Callithrix jacchus: one gene and its partner. The protein of the gene in region 1 interacts with the protein of each later gene in a biochemical or structural test. Links are inferred from orthologs where the notes say so. Each region holds a gene or a part of one and is shown on either strand. Other genes may lie near its edges.

The links. The genes of interacting proteins can lie anywhere in the genome.
Region 2: the proteins of PTPRB (region 1) and CNTN1 form a complex in vitro, tested with the Homo sapiens proteins (2 studies listed by BioGRID). The link is inferred for Callithrix jacchus from reciprocal best matches to the Homo sapiens genes PTPRB and CNTN1.

Annotation. Positions count from the first base shown.
Region 1 is NC_133510.1:73,040,117-73,047,873, forward strand, and holds the end of PTPRB (receptor-type tyrosine-protein phosphatase beta), read right to left. Parts: intron 5,361-7,757; coding exon 5,240-5,360; intron 3,780-5,239; coding exon 3,757-3,779; 3' UTR 2,385-3,756; downstream 1-2,384. UniProt on the Homo sapiens protein: Plays an important role in blood vessel remodeling and angiogenesis. Not necessary for the initial formation of blood vessels, but is essential for their maintenance and remodeling. Can induce dephosphorylation of TEK/TIE2, CDH5/VE-cadherin and KDR/VEGFR-2.
Region 2 is NC_133510.1:34,752,145-34,759,901, forward strand, and holds part of CNTN1 (contactin-1), read right to left. Parts: intron 5,479-7,757; coding exon 5,354-5,478; intron 4,694-5,353; coding exon 4,576-4,693; intron 1-4,575. UniProt on the Homo sapiens protein: Contactins mediate cell surface interactions during nervous system development.

The DNA of each region.
Region 1 (7,757 bases):
AGCAAGCAGCTTTATTACCTATTGATTTTCTCTAGGTCAGGTTTGGTCTGGCTCATGTTTGTAAACTAAAATTGTAGAGTGTCCCAGAGTTAGGGTTCAGATACTACCACTGCTGTTGTGCAGATCTGGTAGCTTTATGATTTCAGGATTCCAACCTCAAAGCATTCCCAGAAAATTAAGTGAATGAGAATTTAGTATACGACCAATAATTTTATTGCCAAAGGTAAGGAAAATATTTAACATAAAAAACTGGACCCTTGTACATGAAGGCAAGAGAATCAGCATGTGAAAGGTAGCATGTGAGGTCTATTTTTGTATTGCTGGACATCTGCTAAATGGTTTAATATTATTTTCACATGTCGTTTTGGGCTTTCTTCTGAGAGGTAATTACAAAATTAATCAAAGACCTTTCCAGATAAAACTGGTTTCAAAATGTCTGCATGCTGTGTCCCTTTTAGTATTTAAAAGTGAAATTGGATGGGCGCAGTAGCTCACGCTTATAATCCCAGCACTTTGGGAGGCCAGGGTGGGCTGATCACCTGAGGCCAACATGGTGAAACCCCGTCTCTCCTAAAAACACAAAATTTAGCCAGGCATGGTGGGTGGGTATCTTTAATCTCAGCTACTCAGGAAGCTGAGGCAGGAGAATCACTTGAACCTGGGAGACGGAGTTTGCAGTGAGCCAAGATTGCACCACTGTGCTCCAGACTGGGCGACAGAGCAAGATGATGTCTCAAAAAAATAAAAAAAGGGAAATTATGGTCATCTCTTTGATAATTTGGATACTGAAAGGACTATGAGATTATCCTCATGGGTATAAAAGATAATATGAATAGTAGATAAAAATTAAATTTGATTGGGAAAATGAACATATTCAACTGGAAGGAGTGGGGTGAGTAATGAAACACAGGGACTCAGCTTTAAGGGATGGAGAATTACTTAGGAAAAATATGTGCAAGCCCAGATAAGAGAGGTGAGTCTTTGAAAATTCTGATTCAAGAGCTGAACAATTGGCTGCTTTCCAGAGAACAACAAAATGATAATACAAAATTGACTTAATGAGATGAGATTAAAGGAGTTAATTATAAAGAACTTGGAAAAGTAATTATTAAGATGCTAGATGGGACTCTCCCAAGATTTGATAGCTCGAAAGCACTTTGAAGCCTTGATGATTGAAGTGTACTGCACAGGTGCACAGACAGGATGTCCACCCAGACAGGAAATGAAGTGTTTACCAAGACACAACATATGATGTAATTAAATGAAAATACATCCAATAGAGCTGAATGTCAAGGAAAACTTTTTTGTCACCTAATTTAATAAATAGATCAATTATGTATTTAGTTTTCCTGGGAGCAGGAGAGGATGGTGAAATATTAGTTGCTAAGGAGGTTTAAAATTGGGTGTAGGGTAGGAATAAATATTTCCTGGAGTAGACTAAAAGAACCGACCATGTTTTCCTGTCACGTCCATTTACATAATTCTTATACTACCTTGATGTTGCCAGGGTATGTGAGTGTTATTTACTATTACAGATGTATAGGTTTTTTTGTGATTTTAATTCCTGGTTTGTCCAATTAATTGCTCTGTCTTCTAGATCCAGAGGTTTGCTGTTGAAGTAGCATTAGCACTTGCCAGTGTGTGACCTGTGGAAGGTGACCACTGTCTAATCCAGTCAGTTATCCCATTCCCTTGATGAGGCCCTCTTTTAAGCTCAATTCAAGGTAGTAACAATAGTCCTAACTTTATGAGGATTCTCTTTATGTGAGTAGAACTGCATAGATTCTGGAACAGTGTCTAGTAGGTTGCAGGCACCTACTAAAAGTTTGCTGAGTGAATGAAAAGTCAAAAATGAATGTATCCTTCCAGGCATCAATGTGCTTTGCGTCAAGCAATACTAGTGTAAAATTCTCTTTTGTTGTATTTTTGCTTTTTCTTTTCAATATAGGAAAGGTGATTTCTCATAGATGCTGCACCTTGTAAATCTGACCTCTATTTTCTCGCTGGTGGTACATCTGCTGCACTTATGCATACATTGTTCCTTTTCATTTCCAGAAGATCCGCTTAGCTCCCTGATACAGAATCAGAGCCTAGACTGTCATTTCACAAGGGCATTGAGCACAATGAAACTGTGGAACTTTGAAACTTATTATTATGCTTCACATTTTTGTAAACTTCAAATAACCCTGGAAATTTTCCAGATTGGGTATAGAGTTATTTAACTATAAATAACTCTTTTAGGTATAGTCAATGATTTTCAATTATTATGCCAATTACATTCATTGTATTACTTAGCGGACTTTATGGTAGGTTACAGAAATACATACTTTGAAAAGAAATGTACTCTTTCTGCAAATGAAGCTGTGCCATCAACAAACAAACTCGACCTCTAATTCCCAAGTTTATTACAGAAAAATCTGTAGCATGAAAAAGGCCAACATCTCCAGCTCATCTTCTCAGGTATCTATGAAGAGTCCATACAAATGCCTTTCAGATTTTCCCCGGGAATGCTCTCAGAACTGACCTTGATGAAGGGAATGCCCACTTTCTGATTCACTGGAATTTGTTGTAGTCAAAGTAAGGCACAAATATCGAAGATAAACTTGGTACAGTATGTAGTGCCTTTAGCTATTATATGCAACTTTAGGTGACTACTTGACATTTTGACGTCATTGATTTACTAAAGTTTTGAGAATTTTATTAACGACCACTGTTTTCGTTCATTCTGTTTTTTTAAATTTAAAATATATTATTGTAGTCATTTCTGTGAAAATAATGGCATTAAGTCTTTTAATCAGGGGCACGATCTGTTACCATAATATTCTTTTAATGGGAAACCAAGTAGAAATGGATAATTGTGACTTTTCCAGGAATGGAGACTATGGAAAATGAGACAATATAAATACATTACAGTATGGGTGTGCATGTTCACACTCCACACCATGAATGCGGTAAAAGAATCTCTAATCACTATAGTTAGTGCTTTGCATGTTGTTTCTAGTCTGGGTATAGCTGGCATCTTCTTAACAAAAGGAATTCATCACTTCTGTTTGGAATTATTCTCTATCAACCAGAACCCTCAACCCTGCATCCTAGGCTTGGACTGCAAGTTGCATGATCCCAGACCCCTTTGGCTTCAATCCCTGGCAGGAGAAGGGAGAGAGAACAACTAGTTCAGACACAACCATCTGGTTCAGCTTTGGTACTGCTTCATTAATTCTTCTATCTCCCTCTAATCCTATTTTTGACTGTTACATTTGTCCTAGTAGCATGTTAGGACATGCCTGTTGGCTATCGAGATTCATGGGACAGCAACGCAACAAAGCTAGCCATAGTATTTGCTCTCTCTAGCCTTGCCCTTTATCCTGTCCAGTGAATATCAAAACAGGTAGAAAACATGCCTAAGGGATTGTCTCTGCCACCACCTCCATATGCATTTAACCAGCAGTCCTATCATACAGGTTGAATTAGTTTATGTAGAACAAGTCATGAACACTTTAGTGTGGAAAAATAGAATTATATAAAGCTTAATATTAAACATTATGAAAAACATATTTACAGAAGAAACTACAAAATACAACTATGTACAATAATATGTTACCTTTAAATTATATAAAATTTTAAACATTCTCCAGATTAATAAATTATACATAGTATCAACAGAAATAGCTGGCACCTCTATAGGGCATGAAGCAAGTTTTTATAAACAAATCACACAGTGAATAATTTTTATCCAGGAGCTCTTCAGGTACATTCTTAATGCCTTGAATAGACTGGATCTGAAAGGAAGAACACTGAAATTAGAGGCAGCAGCAGGGTGTGTCATAGTGGTTTATGAAAATTATCAATGCAAAAGACCGGCAGAAATGAATAAAGCTCAACATGGTCTAAGGTGAGAACATTCCTATGGGGACCAGGTCATTCCAATTAGAAACACAGATTATTAGACTTGGAAGGGACTAATAATTCTAGCCCATCTCCTCTGTTTTTATGGATGAAGCCATAGGCCCAGAGAGGCAGAGTAACTTACCCACGTTACACAGCTTGTTAATGCTAGTTAGTTCAAGAGTTTGGACCTGAATCTTAGCCTTCAGTGCCTGGTGGTTAACTTTTTCTATACCATAGTTAGCTTCTTTCAGGGGTGCCCAAGATTACTAAGATTCTCAGACAAGTCAAAACAAGACAAAGGAACCTCCCAGATCCCTCAGAACTTGCTCTATCCTGAAGCTTCTTAAGGAATCTCCAATTCAAAAACCTTAAATGACTATACAGATAAATTAGGGGGTAATTATTTATCATACAAAAGATTATCTGATTTACAAAGGACTCCTCTAAATAGTAGCTCTTTATTTGTGCTTTGTAGATTGTTAACTCATTAATATACTGGCTACGCTTGATGAAACAGAGAACTAAGTAAAAGGTTAGGAGACAGCCGGGCGAGGTGGCTCACGCCTGTAATCCCAGCACTTTGGGAGGCCGAGGCGGGTGGATCACGAGGTCAAGAGATTGAGACCATCTCGGTCAACATGGTGAAACCCCGTCTCTACTAAAAATACAAAAAATTAGCTGGGCACGGTGGCGCATGCCTGTAATCCCAGCTACTCAGGAGGCTGAGGCAGGAGAATTGCCTGAACCCGGGAGGCGGAGGTTGCAGTGAGCCGAGATCACGCCATTGCACTCCAGCCTGGGTAACAGGGGCGAAACTCCGTCTCAAAAAAAAAAAAAAAAAAAAAAAAAAAGGAGGTTAGGAGACACTGAAGATCATTTACAAATGGAGATAAGAGCGTGTGAAATAATGTCTGTCAAAGAAAGATTATCTGATTTATAGAGAGAGAACAGTCCACATGGCAAGGAATTGCTGGAATTACAAGCTTGAGCCACTGCGTCCAGTTAGAATCTTTTTCTTTTTCTTTGAGACAGGATCTTGCTCTGTCACCCAGAGTGGAGTGCAGTGGTGTGAACTCAGCTCACTGCAGCCTTGACCTCCCAAGCCCAAGTGATCCTCTCCCTCAGCCTTCCAAGTAGCTGGGACTACAGAGGATGTCTGGCTAATTTTTTTTTTTTTAATTTTTTGTAGAGACGGGGTCTTGTTATGTTGCCCAGGCTGGTTTCAAACTCTTAGGCTCAAGTGATCCTCCTGCCTCAGACTCCCAAAATGCTGCAATGTGAGCCTCTGTGCCTGGCCATACTGACCATATCTTAATGAAGGAACTCGGAAGTTAGTAAAGTAAGTGCCTACCTCTGTGATACTCTGGATTCACATTTTCGTAGATTGGAAACAAGGGGTTTTCTTGTTCACTCCGTAGTTTCCTTGCTCTGAGGACATCTCTTACACACTGATGCAGGTAGACATACTGACACTGTGGAAAAAAAGAGACATGTCAGAGGAGGGCCTGTTCACATGCAGAAGAAAGATGAGGCACTCTCACAAAATACTGACAGTGATGGGATTGTATATAGTTAGCAAGTTTCTTGGTCATCATTTTACTAACGGTCTCTGATAAATAAAACAGTGACTGTCTTTTATTACCACTGAAAAGAGAACAATGGTAATGGGCAGAGAGGTGGCATTTTTCATTCTTTTAATATTTATGTATATATATGTGGTGTGTTCTGTGAGCACCTATAACTGTGTCTAGTACATAGTAGGTCTTGCACAAATTCAGTAGATGAACGAATGCCAAACGCTACTATGTAGTTTACATACATTATCTCGTTTAATGATTTCGACAACCTTGTGAAGTAAGTGTAATGATCAGTATAAACTAAGACTCAAAAGTTGAGTAACTTCTCCAAGGTCACACAGCTAAGAAATTGGGCCCTGGGATTTGTTCTTGGAGATGTGACCTCAAATTTCATGTCTTTTTCACTATACCAGTTTTCATAGATGAATCCCAATTTCATTGCATAACTGAATGAGAAAATCATTTCACTGCATACTCTGCTGCTTTGTTTTCTTTATTCTGGGAATACAGTGGGAAAAAAAAGAGGTATGAACAAGAAACGCTGCTGGACTGTTAGTTCTTTGAGTGCAAGGTCAGTGTCTTATCCATCTCTGCTCTCTCAGCATCTGAGTCTGCCACATGGAAGAATCTTGAAGATGCTGGCTGACTGCAGAGAACTACAGGGGTTACAGAGTGAGGACAGACCCACCTGTCAGCTATTTGAGAATTTACTACTTTTGAAATATAAATGAATATAGGAGTCAGTGCTTTGGTGACCATAAAGACCTCCACTGACCACTGTGTCTCAGCCACAGGCAGCCAAGCTTGTGCATTGGGCCCCCTTCCTTATACTCCCTGAGCTCTCTTATAAGGAAATAGATGTCTGTGAAACCTTCCCTTGCTGATATAGCAACTGCTCAGAGGGAGTTGTGAGCAGTGAAGAAGACTGGGCTCTCAGCAGCCTCTAGCCAGCCTAGGCTGAGCCATCAGGCTTCTTGGGATCCCAGTTTTCCCGTTTATTAAACAAGGAGGCAGTGGTCTCTTATAGCTAACAGCCTTTGTCCATTAAAAGATACAGGTTGATGTCAGTCAGATAGATATTGGAAAATATTTCCAAACCTCGTGTTTAAAGCAATCAGTGCAGTCAGTCAAAGTATTTTAGAGGTTTGAGATACAAAGTAGAACAATTCAATCTTTCCTCATTAACAATCCTACCAAGTAAACAGGTACTTATTTTTATGGATTGGCACTAGATACTGTCCCTGATTGAAAGCCAGCCTGGTCATCTATCCATGGGACTATATAAGGTAGGTCTGGTATAATCAATAGATAAGAACATTTAATTTTTTTTTTAAGAGACAGGGTCTTGTTCTGTCACCTAAGTTGGAGTACAGTGACACAGTCATAGTTCACTGCAGCTTTGAACTCCCGATCTTAAGTGATTCTCACACCTTAGCCTCCTGAGTAGCTGGGATTACAGGTGTGCACCATCAGGCCTGGACAAATTTTTTAAAAAGTTTTTTAGAGATGGGGTCTTGCTCTGTTGCCCATGCTGGTTTGAAACTCTTGGCCTCAAGCCATCCTCCTGCCTTGGTCTCCCAAAGTGCTAGGATTACACTGTGCCCAGCCTAGATAAGGACATTTTAAACAACCAAATCAATAAAAAGTAAGACCTGCAATAATATTGATAACTGTTCTCTGCTTTTCTGCTCACAGACATTTGTCATTATGAATGTTATACACAATCTCAATACTATTGAAAGTCTGAGAAAAGTATTCTCCAGAGAATGGTTGTTAGTATAAAGCAGTCTCTCTTTGCTAACTTAAAAGGATCCACCAAATTATAGACTGACACCTCCCTGTTTTCTCCCACCCAAAGCGTAATTCATATTTTCAATTCTACTAGGATATTAAATTACTTTGGAACCTCAGCTGTGAATGAACTCTAGTACATGTGTGCTGTGGCCTATTAATGAATTCTTTATCAATGATTCACCATGGGCTTTGAAACTAGTTAATATCCATTAATTTGCCTTGCCTTAAATATAGATTCTTCTTTTCCCAATAGAATGTCCCTTTGAAAATGATTAGTATCAAAATGATGAGATTGTTAATGTGCTTCTCATTTTATTCTTAAGGAAAAGTAGACAAAGCCTAACACATGAACCTCAGATCACAGAAGATAATTTTTTGCTAATTGGTGAAGGCTTGGCTGAGTATTGACACATTCAGTTCCATTCATTCAATTTCATCAATATTTGCAGTGTCAGATATTAATTACAGTGTCATAGTTACCGTCTTCTGTGATCCCTG
Region 2 (7,757 bases), about 38 Mb from region 1:
CTAAATTCAGTTGGTTTGACTCAATCCCACAAGGAAAGTAAAATGAAAGGCTGGAGAAAATTGACCAGCATTATACACACTGACATATGATCCTAGTCAATCCTCTCAACCACATGTTGAATGAACTACCCCCAGTTTATAAATGAAAAAATTGAAATCTATTAGGATTATCTAATTTGGCAAAGGTGCCACAGGTAGTAATCACCAGGAGTCACATTTGAATCTAGGTCCTTCTGTTTCCAAAGCATGTGCTTTTCATTAAGCAAGCAATCTCTCCTTCTGTATACATTTACTGAGTATCAACTGTATGCAGACACTCTGCAAAATGCCAAAATAATTGAAGCCCTGCTTTCGGCACCTATCCATAAACAGCCATGGGAATAATGGATCTAATCAACGAATTAAGGAGAACATGATCATTTGTAGTTCATCCTTACATCCAAGTAAAGAACAATACTTATCAGAACAGAATACTCCTTCGCTGGTGTGCTCTGACTTTCCTCCGGTTTCCCACATTCAATCTACCGCTCACTCTCCTTTTCTCTTGGCAAACTCCAAGCAGATTTCATCCATATATTTCAACACATGACAATCAACTGTAACTGTGTACTTTCTGGAGGCTTTTCTAGGCTTAAGCATATCTTTATCTGAGTTTTGACTCTTCATTATCTAGTCTGCTCATTCTCAAATTTATGTGTGTATTGAAATCATCTGGGGATGTTTTTAAAGTGTCCATTCAGTAGGTCTGGGGTGAGCATGGGATTCTGCACTTCTAATGTGCTCCTTGGTATGGCCACTGCTGCTGACGCTCTGGGGAAGACACCTTCTGTGGCAAAGATTCATTCTATTCCATTGTTTTGTTAGTCTAAATTTTGATAACTGGCAATAAAGTAGTAAGCAACAACCCATGCTGTACACCTAACGCACTTCTGGGTGTTTTGTGTAGTCTCAATAAACATTTTGTGTGACATGACATATTGCTTTGAAAACATAAAAGAAAATTTAATAGGATTATATTTTAAAAACAAAAATTCAGATGGAAAATAAGGATTTTCCTTGAATCAGTTTAGGTGTTAATGAAATAGTTGATTTGATGTGGTCCTTTAAATGACTTCAGATTTATCTAATATTTGCATTTCTAACAACAGAATCTAGACTATGTTCCTATATATGTTTTAGAAGTGGCAAAATATAAGGTGATATCCTTCCTCTCAATTAAGATGAAGGTATGATGCATATCTTGTGTCTTTGGTTCTTTATTGTAATATATGAACCTATTAAAAGAATAGCATCTGCTGTAGAATAAGTGCTCAATAAATATTTGCTGGATGAACACATGAATTAACTAAATAACCCCGGAAAAGAGAGGGAGAGAGAAGCACTGTGCATAAGAGTATAATAAACGAGAATGACTGAGACAAATTTAAACATGTTCAGGGCTATTGATCTGGGGAGGATCAAATTGTTCTGTTTGCTAGTTATTACATTAACAGTCATTAAAAGACTTGACAATTCTAACCGAAATATATAGAAATTTTTCAGTCTGAGCTGAGGAATTGTTATATTTGTTTTTGGTAATATACTAAGATATGAACTTTAACAGAAAATAAAATTTACATTTGGGACAGAATTCAAACTGACTTCTCTGAGTGAAAATGATTTTATATTCTTTTTTACCAAAGATATCTGAGCTTGCAATGCTTTCTTGATATCCAAGAACCTAGAGTAAATATATTACCAGGAAATTTAGGCTTTAGGGAGGAAGAAATAGAGTATGATCTTCAGCATTATAATAAGTGGATTGGAATGTTAAAATTAAGATGGCCTGGCTGGGTGTGGTGGCTCATGCCTGTAATCCTGGCACTTTGGGAGGCTGAGGCGGGTGGATCACAAGGTCAAGAGACTGAAACCATCCTGGCCAATGTGGTGAAACCCTGTCTCTGCTAAAAATACAAAAAATTAGCCAGACGTGGTGGCACATGCCTGTAATCCCAGCTACCTGGGAGGCTGAGGCAGGAGAATTGCTTGACCCCAGGAGGCGGAGGTTGCAGTGAGCCGAGAATGTGCCATTGCACTCTAGCCTGGGCAACAAGAGCAAAACTCCGTCTCAAAAACAAAAAAATTAAAATGGCCTTAACTTATTGAGACTAGTTTTATTTACTTCTCTATAATTCTCTCATTTCCTATCATTTTCTTTTTGTGTCCGTCAATCTGTAGGGATACCAATGTTTTGAAGAGTATTCTTTGGGTGCAGCACGAAAAAAAGTGGCCGCATTGAGTCTTGCTTTATCTTTTCAACAACTAATGCTAGAAGAAAAAGCCTGACTTCCTGAATTCACTACTTAAAATATGACTTGACCTAGTGACAACTCTTTCAAACAACATGAAAAGGACATAATACAGTAAGACTTTTGGGCTGGGCACAGTGGCTCATGCCTGCAATGCCAACATTTTGGGAGGCCAAAATGGGTAGACCACTTAACTCAGGAGTTCTAGACCAGCCTTAGCAACATGGAGAACCTCCATCTCAACAAAAAATAAAGCATTTTGCTGGGTGTGGTGAAGTGCGCCTGTTGTCTCAGCTACTTTGGAGGCTGAGGTGGGAGGATGGCTTGAGCACAGGAGGTGGAAATTGCAGTGAACTGAGATCACACCATTTCATTTTAGCTCGGTAAAGGGATAACTGGCAATACATAAATTAGTAAACAACCAACCTATGTTGTATACCTAACATAGTACTGGATATTCTGTGTAGGTTCAATAAGCATTTTGTGTAACACAACATATTGCTTCAAAAACATTTAAAAAAATTAATAGGATATTTTAATAGGATTATAATAACATATACACTACTATTAAATTATAATAAATCATAATTTATATCAGAAATTATTGTAAATCACATTAAATTCAATTTTATTAAATATATATATTAAAATTATAGATTATAATAGGATTATATTTCTTCAAAACACTGGTATCCCTACAAATTAATTGACACTAAAACCCTTGATAGAGAGAGACTGTCTCAAAACAAAATAGACAATTGTAAAGTAGTTGTAGTGAATATACATAAAGTAGTCATAATAAAACACCTTGGAGATATCTCTGGTGTGAATTGCAGAAGATTAGCAGATGTACTGGATGGGGAAGGGACATGATAAACTCTGCCATTCTTCAGAACAAAGAATCTTTGAGGAGGAGATGTGAGTGTGGGTGGGAGATATTAAAAAAGAATTCAGCTGCAGACATGCTAAGTTTGGATTCTCTGTGGGATTATCCAAATGAATATTGCTTCTAGGAAGTATTTATATTGAGATTGAAGCTAAGGATAACTATCTGGGTCAGAGATATAAATTATGGGATCACTAGTAAGTAATAGGAGATGCAGAAAAAATTCACTAGAAATTTTAAAAATAAAAATAAAAACCAGGCATAATAATGTAGGATACATAAAGGGAAATGGAAAAGGGAATGAAATGGATCAGAGAAATGGAATGCTGGGATAGAGCAAGATTTCTAGCCAGACAGAGGAGAGGGTGAAAAGGTGACAATGAAGGAGATAGAGAAGAAGTGGTCTGTGAGGTCTTATGGCTCAGAATCACCAAAGAAAGAGATAAGAAAGCCTGAGAATAATACAGGACCAGAAAGAGGCAACTGGTGGATATGTTTTCAGACACAGACACACACACACACACACACACACACACACACACACACAGAGCACATACACATACACAGGAGAATGAACAGCTGTTGATATCAAGTATCAAGAAAAATGAAAAGGAATGAATATAGTGCAGAGAGGTAAAATAACTGTTTGATGTTTGCTTAGGAGAGATTCTTTCTTCTCCAGATAAAGAGTATTGAAAAGGCAAATGTAGTAAAGAGACAGCTTTGAGTGGATGGGAAGTTGAAATACTTTATGACAAACGATTTCAATTTTCATGGAGCACAAGAATACAATATAAAAGCCAGAGTCCGGGTGCAGTAAGGGACTTGCAGAATGTCCTAAAAGTTCTGAATAGCAACTGTAGGGCATGAGACCCAGGGACTGAGAATGTTCCAAAAATGACCAAATACTCATCTGAGGCTGGATCACATGCAGTGTTTTAGCATCAGTCTTCAATGTTATGTGATTCTGCAGGCAGTGTTCAGCTGTCCAGGCATATGAGAGGATAAGACTTGTTGTCAAAATTGGCATGTGTAAATTGTGCTTTATCATTTAAAAAAATACCAAAACAATTATATTCCATGTTCCTTCAAATTTATTATACACTTCAGCTTCTTAACTAAAAATAAAATGATGCAATTTAATTCAATAGAAATTTGTATGTAGTTGGAATTTTCAACTAGCATAAGAAAAGTTTAAAGCGTTACTTCCTCCCTGCTTAAATGTTCTTCAGTGAAAGGAAAAACCATATCATTTCATTCCCCACCGCATTTTAAAAGTTTTTAATATTGGACATTAAAGAACGTAATGTGAAATCAAATGTGATCCATGGATACTCCATCATCTTTTTTAAATGTCACCTTCTTGATGAATGTTTAACAGAAATTAGAAATGATACTGACCTAAGATCTTCAACTCAGCATTTGCATAAATGGCTCCATGTGTGTTTTCAGCTATGCACTGATACATTCCAGCATTTTCAAAAGTCACGTCATATAGTCTCAATTCCCCTTTATGATACTGAAAAGAATAAAAGTTAAACATATTCTCAATGAACTGTAATAGTAATACTTTCACTTAGGTTTGGGCTTGTTTGTCTTTTCATGTAGATACATTATGTTCATCTGCCCCCACTGTTACCTAAGATGAACTGAGTGGGATTTTCGTGGCATGGGAAAGGAAACCCACTTACCATGCCCAAAGGCTCTTGTTCTATTCATCCTACAGAGCTGAGAGTCCACCTTTTCCCCTCTTGGACCAGCTGGGAGATTACAGTGGGAAGGTAGAGAAGAATCCCACTGCTGCTACTTGTCCCCAGGGCCAAAGGTAGGACTTAGAGCTTCACTCTTACCTCTGTCTCTGTGGGGTACAGGAAAATAGTGGCAAGAAAAAGAGGACAATATCAGGTATTGGAGATGGATGAGTAGGAAGAGGGTGGAAAAGTGGAACAAAGGAAAAAAGAAGGAGAGAGAGAAAGAAGGTAGAGTAAGATTACAGAAAGTTGTTTAAACTGAAAGAAGATACTTTATGTTCAGTTTTTATCTTTTTTAGGAAGCTTTTATATTTCAGGGCCCAAGTACTCTTTCTCTATTGATTCTCCTGCTAAATTTATCCCAGGACCACCCTGAAACATTGCTTGAACAGGGACTCAGGAACAGCAAAGTACATGAACGTACATACCGCATATCCATTTTTCAACCATCGGATGGTAGGGATGGGCTTCCCTGTGGCCACACAAGGCCAGTAGAGATCGCTGCCTATGTCCACCTCTGTGTCATTGATATGTTCTACCCACTCAGGGAATGCTAAAAAGTAAGAAACATTGTACATTTTAAATGCAAGTCTCAAGATCCATTATAACCTCCAGAGTATAAATATTACATTAGTAAACCTTATTCTGCAGAATACATCAGATATTATAGGTATCCCAAATTCAGTATTTGAACCATCAAAATTGTACTTGCATAGGCCTTTTCTTTGTTAGGTTTAACCTATGCAAATCCTATATTACTCTAAAAGGAGGTAACTATAACTCAGTCATTATTTTTCCATTTGTAAATCATGTTTTGTTGAAAAGCTGAGTTATAATTAGTACTAAAATATTTTTTTTCTGCTCATAACAAATCTTTCAAGTCTGTCAAAATAACAATTGAGGTTTTAAAGAATTATGTCTCAATTCAATATGGCACCATCTCTTAACCTTTTGGATAAAGATTCAGATTTTTTCCCACTCCTTCAAGTATATATTATCTTCATTTTGATGTAATTTAGCTAGTGGCCACTGTAACATCTTACTGTGGTGTTAGAAAATTACCTGGACACTTAAATATACTCTTTCCATATTAGAAACTACATATAGTAGCCATGATTGGTGAAATCCATGCATGAGTAAAATTGATCTCAGTCTCATTCTTTAATCTGATCTACTTGATATCTAAAGAAACACCCATAAAAATGAGAAAATGCTAAAAATATTCCTAAGAAAATCATATTTCTAGAGAACAAGAAAATGAACAGTTTGATGGTCTTTTTGATTACTTCAGTTATCTAATCCAAATAGATGCAGATAAATAAATTAATATAAAATAAAATGGAAGTAGGAAGAAAGAATCCTGAGTGGAAAATAACTTTCTTTGAAAATGGGAACTTGTATTAAGTTTATGGCAAAAGCAATATATACATCTTATATAAGGCATTTAACAAGTAATAAAATACCAGAAATTTAAAAACTAGAAAACATTTTTATAATCTCACCAAATACCATCAATATTACACATTATAATGTATATAATATATGTAGACATATGTACACCTATATACATATTTTATAGCATATATAGTCTTATTTAGTACAATTTTTCACTCATCATTATATCTGTCCATAACATAAAGAGATTTTTTTTAAATATTGGTGGATACATTCATGTTAATTGAGAGAGGCTTTACTTTGTATACAATCTTAGCAATACATAATACAGGAATATCAGCACCTTTTCTGTCTTGGTCTCACATAGGTAACACAGACATTTGCTATTACATTTTATACTGAATAATTGAATTGGCTTGATACATTCTATATATGGCTTAATGATGTAACTTTCGAGTGATGTGATCAGACCTAAAGATAATACTGAGTATGCTGTATTAGTAAAGAAGAAATATTTCTCTTAAATTACCTGCTATAAATACCTGCTCTGGCACCTTGGTTCTTCTCAGGCTTTAGATATTGAACAGTTCAAAATTCTACTCTGCTGAGAGCCTGGGTGTAGTTTTCTTAATATGTTGAATAAAAACATGTCTATAAGCTTTAGAAACCTGGTAGAAAGTGATGGATTTATTTCAAAAGTTTTAAAGCTCTTAACTACTTTTCTTCCTTTCAGGAGGCTATTTCATGCATACTTGATATGTATCACGTTAACATTACTGTGGCATTGGATATACAAGTCTGAGGTTCAGGATAAATGTCTGGGTTACAGTGTTCAGGGTAGAGTGTGTCTAAAGCCATGATCATGAATGGGATCCTAAAGGGAGTGACTGAAATGGAGATGAGGTTCACAGATGGAACCCTGATCACACCGATGGTAGAAAGGTATGGAGTAAGGAGGAAACATAAATGGAGAATGAAAGATTATACAAGGAAATTCATAACAGAGCGGGTCCCAGTCAAAAAGCACAGAAAGTAAATAACGAAGAAGGGAGGGACCAACTGTGGCAACCACTTATGTTAGATTAAACAAAGTACAACTGAGAATTGAACATGGGCTTCAGCAATATGGAAGTTGGTGGTCATGGAAAGAAAGGTTTCTGTGGAGAGGTAGAGATGCAAATCAAGTTGGAGTGCATTTAAGAGAGAAGAAAAACTGGAGATGGTGACAACACTTTTAGAGAGTATGGGTGTATCTGTCAAAATTTTAATTCCTTTTTGGGAGAGACAGGAGGCAGTGAAATGGGACAGTAGCCAGAATTAAAAATGAATAATCTTGTGTAAGCCCTCAATGTTTATTCTGTGTGACCTGCAGGTTCATGTTGTGGAACACTATAGAGATTATTTCAGTCTGGAGTGTTTCCAATGTGGCCTTAAAAA